Linked DNA regions of Tribolium castaneum. Each later gene encodes a partner of the first gene's protein in a complex. Links are inferred from orthologs where the notes say so. Each region holds a gene or a part of one and is shown on either strand. Other genes may lie near its edges.

Region 1 (4,266 bases):
AAAATTTTCCTTTAGATTCTCTTCTCTCGCTTATAAAAATTCTTGTCTAGTTTCTTTTAGAATTCTTCTTGTTCATTTTTTAGCATTGTTTTTTTACTGTCTTTTAGATTTTTTTAAAGATTTTTATGATTATCTCCTAAAGACTTCTTTAGATCTTAAATCCGCAATTTTTTTTATATTCTCCTCTCTCGCTTATAAAAATTCTTCTCTAGTTTCTTTTAGAATTGCTCTTATTTATTTTCTAGCATTGTTTCTGTACTTCTTTTTGGATTTTTTAAAGGTTTTTGTGATTCTTTTTTAAAAATTTTTACATGAATTTTAATGTTAAAATTCCTATTAATTTAATACCAACATGACTATTAAAATTTTATTTCAGACGATGAGGCTGAATCAGACATTCCAACAACTTTAATCCGTTCAATCGCCGACGTTCCGTCATTTGAACTCACCACAACCCTCACAACCAACGACATTGTCATAAATAAATTAACCCAAATTTTAAGTTACTTGCGCCAAGGCAACCGAAAGAACAAAAAAACCAAACGGGGACTCCCCGAAAGTCGCGAAAACGAACAACCGGAAGAACCCGAACCGAAAAAAACAACAAAACGTACAACCGGTGATGACTCCATCTATGGAGATATTGGTGATTACGTACCCACAAGAAGTGGTAAACATGGAAACTCGTCACGTGACCATAACAAACACACGTACTTTGATAAACAAGAGGAAGCGCTTGAAAATAGCGGACCGACTTTCAAAGTCAGTAAATCGGCACAAATCCTTAATAAACTGGCTCAAGAGCCTGAGGGATATGCTGAGTGTTATCCCGGATTGGAGGAAATGAACGATGCGATTGATGATTCTGATGATGAGGTTGATTATTCTAAGATGGACTTGGGGAATAAAAAGGGGCCGATTGGACGCTGGGACTTTGACACAGCTGAGGAGTATTCCGATTATATGAACCAGAAGGAGGCTTTGCCGAAAGCAGCCTTCCAGTACGGCCTTAAAATGGCAGATGGGCGCAGGTCCAGGAAGCATAAGGATAAGAACGAAAAGGCGCATTTGGACAGGGAGTGGCAAAAAATCCAAAGCATTATCAAGAAGAAATAATTTTGTTGTGTATTTAGGAGATAAATAAGTTAATTTAAATAAAAAATATATATTGGAAATTTGATTTTCTACAACTTTGTTCCTTACTTTTTTGTCTTACTATCGAGAGTTTAATGCTCTATGTGCCTGTATTTTTTCTTTGCTATCTGCTAATGGAACAAGTGCGCTCTCTGGTGACAATAAAGGAACTACCGAAAACGCGAGCGTTTCATTTGTACGTCTTTGGTATCTTAACCGTAGAATCCTTACTTTTGACACAACTTGAACCTAAATACCACCACCTAACCCTGGCTCTCGACTTAAGGGCCCTTTCGTGCCCAAAAACAAATTAATTTGCCCTTTTTTTACGATATTACCATAACACTACCAATCACAAGACAAAAAAGTCCCGATTTTGACAGTTGGCACAAGTTTTTGGCCATTTTGTGGTTACAATCGTGTCGGAAAATCTGTTAAGTGAAAAAAAGGCTTTAAACACGTAAGTTTTGCCTCTTTCACGTGTATTTTACCTTAAAATTGTGGTTCCGACATTTCTAACTATAATTTTGGGGAGTTCCGTCTCCAAACATGAACCACATGGGCCCCAGTAACTAGCTTTAAAGTAGTCTTAAATTAAGTTTTCGGTCTTCATTTGGCCCAAAGAAGCGAAAAACCGTTACCTAACGCCAATTTAACGCCTAGTTATTGCGTTATTTCACGTAATTTTTTTGAGGTTATGTCACTTTGTAGGTAAAAAAATGAGTCGTTTTTTCGCCGGTTCGGACTCAGACTCCGACAGCTCCTCCGAGGAAGAGCCAATTCAGCGCGCGCCAGCGCCCGTTTTCACCGTAAGTGAGCCCCCATGTAGCTTAACATTTTTTTAATGGCCCCCTTCTAGTTTAGCGACGATGAAGAGGAGGTCAAACGTGTGGTTCGCTCCGCCAAAGAGAAGCGTTACGAGGAACTCACTAACATTATCAAACAAATCCGCAATTACAAAAAAATCAAAGACATGAGCAGCATGTTGACCAGTTTTGAAGACCTTCAGAAGGCCTACGTTAAAGCGCTCCCAGTGATCGCGAAAGAAGAATCGGGGCAAACGCCCCGTTTCTTCACCCGTTGTTTGGTCGAAATGGAAGATTTCATCAACGAAATGTGGGAAGATCGCGACGGACGCAAAAACATGAGCAAAAACAACAGCAAGTCTTTGGCTTCAATGCGCCAGAAGTTGCGCAAGTACATCAAAGATTTCGAGGAGGATATTGCCAAGTTTAGGGAAAACCCCGACCAGCCGGACGATGAAGAAGAGGAAGAGAAACACGAGCCTGAGCCAGACACTCAAACTGAAGCGCCGGCCAAAGCTGTGGCTAAAATTTCCAAACAGATTGTTGATGATGAAGGGTCGTCTGATTCGGACGATTGGCCTAGTGATAGTGACTCGAGTTCGGATAGTTTTGATGAAGATGAAGGGAAAGGGACTATGAGGGAGCGGTTTTTGAAGAAAACTGGGCCGGCGCATGAAGATGATGAAGAACGCGATCGGAGGAAGGAGGAAAGGAGGAAGGAACGTAAGGAGAAGGAGAGGCGGAAGGTGAAGAAGGAGGATGAGGAGGATGGGGAAGGGGAGTGGGAGTTTGTGAAGGGGGGAATCGCAATTCCGAGCGTAAGTATCAGTACTTTAAATGTTTTTCTATTAAAAAAAATGAGGAATGACCTCTTTTCTTTTGTTATTCGGCTGTCTTGATTAGATAACACAGTACAATGAACTTTTTTTTTATAAAAAAGCTTAATAAGACCTTCTTCTATGACATATTAAAAATTTGGAAAGATATTATTTATGATTTTCTTGTTAGAGTCTGTCAAAAATAAACATTCTTGAAAAAATCAATAAAACAAAGTAAAAAATTCCGCTGTCTTGATTGGATAACACAGAGCAATGAACTTCTTTTTTATAAAACAGCTTCAGAAGACCTTCCTCTATAACATATTAAAAATCTGGAAAGATATTATTTTTGGTTTTCTTGTTAGAGTCTGTCGAAAATAAACATTCTTGAAAAAATCAAATAAAACACAAAGTTAAAAATCCCGCTGTCTTGATTGGATAACATAAAGCAATGAACTTCTTTTTTATAAAACAACTTCAGAAGACCTTTTTCTATAACATATTAAAAATCTGGAAAGATATTATGAACAATGAACTTCTTTTTTATAAAACTTTTTTATAAAACAGTTTCAGAAAACCTTCTTTTATAACATATTAAAAATTTGGAAAGATATTATTTTTAGTTTTCTTGTGAGAGTCTTCCAAAAATAACCATTCTTGAAAAATTCAAATAAAACACAAAGTTAAAAATCCCGCTGTCTTGATTGGATAACATAAAGCAATGAACTTCTTTTTTATAAAACAACTTCAGAAGACCTTCTTCTATAACATATTAAAAATATGGAAAGATATTATTTTTGGTTTTCTTGTGAGAGTCTTCCAAAAATAACCATTCTTGAAAAATTCAAATAAAACACCAAGTTAAAAATTCCGCTGTCTTGATTGGATAACATAGAGCAATGAACATCTTTTTTATTAAACAACTTCAGAAGACCTTTTTCTATAACATATTAAAAATCTGGAAAGATATTATTTTTGGTTTTCTTGTTAGAGTCTGCCAAAAATAACCATTCTTGAAAAATTCTAATAAAACACAAAGTTAAAAATTCCGCTGTGTTGATTGGATAACATAGAGCAGTGAACTTCTTTTTTATAAAACAGCTTCAGAAGACCTTCTTCTATAACATATAAAAAATTTGGAAAGATATTATTTTTGGTTTTCTTGTTAGAGTCTGTCAAAAATAACCATTCTTGAAAAATTCAAATAAAACACCAAGTTAAAAATTCCGCTGTCTTGATTGGATAACATCGAGCAATGAACTTCTTTTTTATAAAACAGCTTCAGAAGATCTTCCTCTATAACATATTAAATATTTGGAAAGATATTATTTTTGGTTTTCTTGTGAGAGTCTGTCAAAAATAACCATTCTTGAAAAATTCAAATAAAACTCAAAGTTAAAAATTCCGCTGTCTTGATTGGATAACATCGAGCAATGAACTTCTTTTTTGTAAAACAGCTTCAGAAGACCTTCTTCTCTAACATATTAAAAATTTGAAAAGATATTATT
Region 2 (4,073 bases), on another chromosome or scaffold:
CTCGTTTTTTATTATTTACTAGTTCAATGGAATTTTTCTATACTCTAGTGTAATATTTGATATTTTCCACATAACACAAACGAAACAATGCTCAATGGAAATGACCAAGGCCTTTACAAATGTTAAACTAAAAAAAGGTATTTAAAATCGTCAGAAAAAAATCTTTAGAATTCCTTATGTACAACTTTTCCGTATCTAATTTTGCACAATTCAATACTTACGGCAATGATATCTTTGGTGGTGCTAGCGGCGTAATGGAACACCGAATCAGAGTTGTAATCGAGATGTTCCAAAGACGCATTCGCAGCAACCAAAACTTGCACCGTCTTCAAATTCTTCGTGGTAATAGCAACTTGTAGTGGCGAGATCCCAGTTTCATCATCAGTACTATTCAAATAATTGTTAATCTTAGAGTCTTTAAAAGAATCATAGAGACTAAAATACGCCGCCAAATGGGCCAAGTTCCAAGAGGGGTGTTCCGCAAGAACGTCACAAATCTTTTGCAAACCTTGCACATTATACATCTGAAATAAAATTCCAAATAATCGTCTTTTAACAACTACAGCAAATTACTTCTTTCGAAATCTCAACAAACGTGGGTAACTTATCCTTCAAGACACAAAATTTCACTTCAGCTTCGTCAAGATTTGGCGAGCGGTATAAACTAAAAATTGATTTTTTTAACAGTTGACGTGTTCGGGGGCACAAACCTGTAGGTTTGGTGTAGGCTTTCCGTGTACGGGCGATGGAGCACAATTTCGTAAGTGGCCCCTTTTTTCTTGTCAACTGTATTAGCTGGGAGGTAGAGGACCAATCCATCTTCCCGTAGGTGAATCGCTCGGTCGGAAAAAGCGTCTGATTTGGCGTCAATCACTTTGGTTGGGGCGGGTTCTGAACTGAGGAAGCTACGTAAAACTGCAAAATGAAGAATAATATTTGTACCATCACAAAGCAGGGGATTACCACTTGTAAATCCTTGGGCAAACATTTTATTACTTAATATCTATTCATACGGTTACGAACACTAATCACTCACTGAGATTGACTACCGATCATTGTGTTTTATTTAAGAAATTTGTGATTTCATAGTTCAAGGTTTGTTCGAACGAGCAATTGGGGAATGAGGTTAAATCACCGGCTCAGTAAATTTGCATTTAGATTAACATCATGTTTATTGATCGTTTTATTTTAAAACATTTTTCTCACTTACTCAGCGGAAATACTTTTGAAAATGAGAAAAAAATGGAATTTCTTGCACCACCTCGAGTAGAAACCTGTAATTTGTAATTGTCAAACGTCAACTGGCTTCGAGGTTAAGTGCAAGACCATTTGCTCGCTATAGTGGCGTAGGCATATAATGAGTAAATTCAAAATGTTTTCCGACGATTATGAGCAAGTGAGTGCTTCAAACACCTAAAACTTGAACAATTTATCCTTAAACCTACACTGGGTTCTATAAAACTCTAGTAAAAGCTTTGCAAATTGAACCATGTGTCTCAAGCCTATTTGTAAAAGTGTGGAAATAATACCGACCTACATGTTTAGCATGCACCATTCCCATAATTCGTGGCAGCAAAATTGACAATAAATTGGACACTGATTTTCATTTATTTCAGGGTTATGAATACAACAGCTATGATGAGTATGGGGCTCACACAGGAGACCCCAACTTGGACAACGAGTACAATAAACAGCACCTAAAGATGCCGGAAATAGTCAAAAACTTCCTAATCTATTTCCGCAATTGCGTGAATGAGGGTTTAATCTTTGAGTTGCAAACTTTGTATGAAACTTCGTGGCCAAAACTAACCGAAGATTATTTCGAGAAACGCCCCTGGCCAGAAGAGTCAGAAGTGTCAGCGCTAGTCGACAGTGATCCCGTGAGTAAATCCATGACTATTTTACCTTCCGCCTCGATTTTGTCTTTCACTTGGTCTAGTATTTTACCCCCAGTTTCACTCTCCTGGACATCCTTAATTTTTTCCTTTACGTGATCAATTATTTTACCTTCTGTGCCAATGTCTTGGACGTCCTTGATTTTCTCCCTAACGTGTTCACTTTTGTCTTTGAGTTCTTCAGAGATTTTCTCTTTGAGCTCTTCTTTTTTGCTCAGGAGTTGCCTTTTGTAATGCTCCATTGCGACTGTTGGAAGCAGTAGCAGGGAAAAATGAACATAAATGGGTTTTATTATGTCTTTAGCAAAAGGACACGTCAGAAGCGACCTAATTACAAAGAAATCGCTCAATATCTATGATTCTTTGATGTCTATTGATTGTAAAGTTTTTGCTTAAATATTTATTTACGCAGCATGGGCGAAAAAAATTGGTTTAAAATAATAATAAATACGACTTTTGGTTTTGGACTTTAATAATGCGATGAATAATATTAAAATAAATAAAAATAAATAAATAAAATAAAAATAGATTTAACGACAAAAAATAAACTTTGAATAAGGTGCTTACAAGGTCATATCTTTTCTAATACTATACAGTTTCGACGAAATTCTAAATTTCATTTCATTTAAAGGTAATCGATTTCAAAATAAATAAAACAGCTTTTTCCTACATTTTTTTGAATTAGGAGTATACCAAAGTCAATAATAGACAAATACATTTCCAATAATATTTTTTCTCGAGGCTTGAGACTTCTTGAAATAAATCATAAAATTTGCTTATTAAACGAATTTTTGTTCTATAAATAAGTAAAACGCTTAACCAAGTAAATTGCATAAACAAAAAAAATTATGTTATAATCAACTGAATTAACAGAACTGTCTTCACAATTTACTAAAGAATTAACTTTGAGTATTTACCAACGAAAATTTGAATACAAAGTCTTAATTAGGCCCAAAAAAATCGTGAGAATCTTCAAAGTAGATTATTTGTTGTCCTTAAAAACTCATGATAAGATAAATAAATTGAGATCTCAACGGGAAAACTATTCAACTGTTCGTCTCTCTTTTGAAAAATAAAATATGCTTTTAAAAATATAAGAAAATCAGTGATAAATCGTAATAAATAGACGGTACCTCAAGCATTTTCCTAAAAACAATGTTTAAATTAAACCTAGGTACAGAATTTTGTTGCATAAATAAGTAAAATCGTTAATCAGTCATTTAGTTAACAAAAAAAAAAACATGTAATGAACTAAATTAACCAGGAACTACCTCCACAATCTACTAATCATATTTCTGTCAACTTCTATTTTCAAATGGCCTATCTTTTTCAAAAAGATAGTAATATTTAAAGTGATGAAATTAATTGAAATGAAAATCGTTATAAGTAATTGATTACCGACTGGACGCGTATTCGCCTAATAAAAATTGAGTTTAAAATAAGTATAAAAATCTGTGAATATTTTCGAAAGAACAAAAATATTTACTCATAATAGAAATATTATGAATGATTTTTTTACGGATTCAGGTAATACTGAGGGAGTGTATACCAAATACAGCGTGCTCAAAAACTGGCGCACCAACTCAGTGGTGTGTGGTAGAGAACTGGTTACATATAAAGGTAAAAATAGTAAAAAAAATCTTTGTATTACTGTTATTGATAAATAACTAATTTTAGGTAAATGATATGTGGCAACGTTGTCTAACAGTCATGATTGCAATAGAATTTGAGCAACAATAAAAATAAATTATTTTTGAAACGGTTTCCTAGGAAATAATTCCCAGTGTTGGCACATCTACACATTGTGATTTTTTGGATGAGTTTTAATTTTTTTTAATTAAAAAAACTGCTAAAATCTGATAGTAAATTTTAAAATAATTATTCATTGTATTGTTACGGAACGATAACCTGGTATGAAACATAGAAATATAAAAAAATAATGAAAACTAAAGAAGTTAACACAATAAGTTTGTAGCTCCAGATTTTTTAAAATATAACTTTAGAAATTTATTCAACATTTTTCCCGTAATCTGCACTTGCTTCTCAATAACGTACCACTGAGTTGGTGCGCCAGTTTTTGAGCACCCTGTATATAAAAAGTAGTGAGATTACGGACGGGACACAAAAATTTATCTTACGTAACAATTTTATTATAACATGAAAACTTTAACCAAAATA

The links. The genes of interacting proteins can lie anywhere in the genome.
Region 2: eIF3c (region 1) and eIF3l share a complex: the UniProt entries of both Drosophila melanogaster proteins name them as parts of the eukaryotic translation initiation factor 3 (eIF-3) complex. The link is inferred for Tribolium castaneum from reciprocal best matches to the Drosophila melanogaster genes eIF3c and eIF3l.

What each region holds. Positions count from the first base shown.
Region 1 is NC_087401.1:16,334,285-16,338,550, reverse strand, and holds the start of eIF3c (eukaryotic translation initiation factor 3 subunit C), read left to right. Parts: upstream 1-1,466; 5' UTR 1,467-1,598; intron 1,599-1,845; exon of another isoform or gene 1,846-1,848; 5' UTR 1,849-1,853; coding exon 1,854-1,943; intron 1,944-1,993; coding exon 1,994-2,758; intron 2,759-4,266. Other genes in the region: beag (protein Red), read left to right, coding at 377-1,116. UniProt on the Drosophila melanogaster protein: Component of the eukaryotic translation initiation factor 3 (eIF-3) complex, which is involved in protein synthesis of a specialized repertoire of mRNAs and, together with other initiation factors, stimulates binding of mRNA and methionyl-tRNAi to the 40S ribosome.
Region 2 is NC_087394.1:32,526,600-32,530,672, reverse strand, and holds the start of eIF3l (eukaryotic translation initiation factor 3 subunit L), read left to right. Parts: upstream 1-1,273; 5' UTR 1,274-1,357; coding exon 1,358-1,396; intron 1,397-1,533; coding exon of another isoform or gene 1,534-1,561; exon of another isoform or gene 1,562-1,616; coding exon 1,617-1,880; intron 1,881-2,007; coding exon of another isoform or gene 2,008-2,137; exon of another isoform or gene 2,138-2,392; intron 2,393-4,073. Other genes in the region: iPLA2-VIA (85/88 kDa calcium-independent phospholipase A2), read right to left, coding at 222-524, 574-664, 711-915, 2,008-2,137. UniProt on the Drosophila melanogaster protein: Component of the eukaryotic translation initiation factor 3 (eIF-3) complex, which is involved in protein synthesis of a specialized repertoire of mRNAs and, together with other initiation factors, stimulates binding of mRNA and methionyl-tRNAi to the 40S ribosome.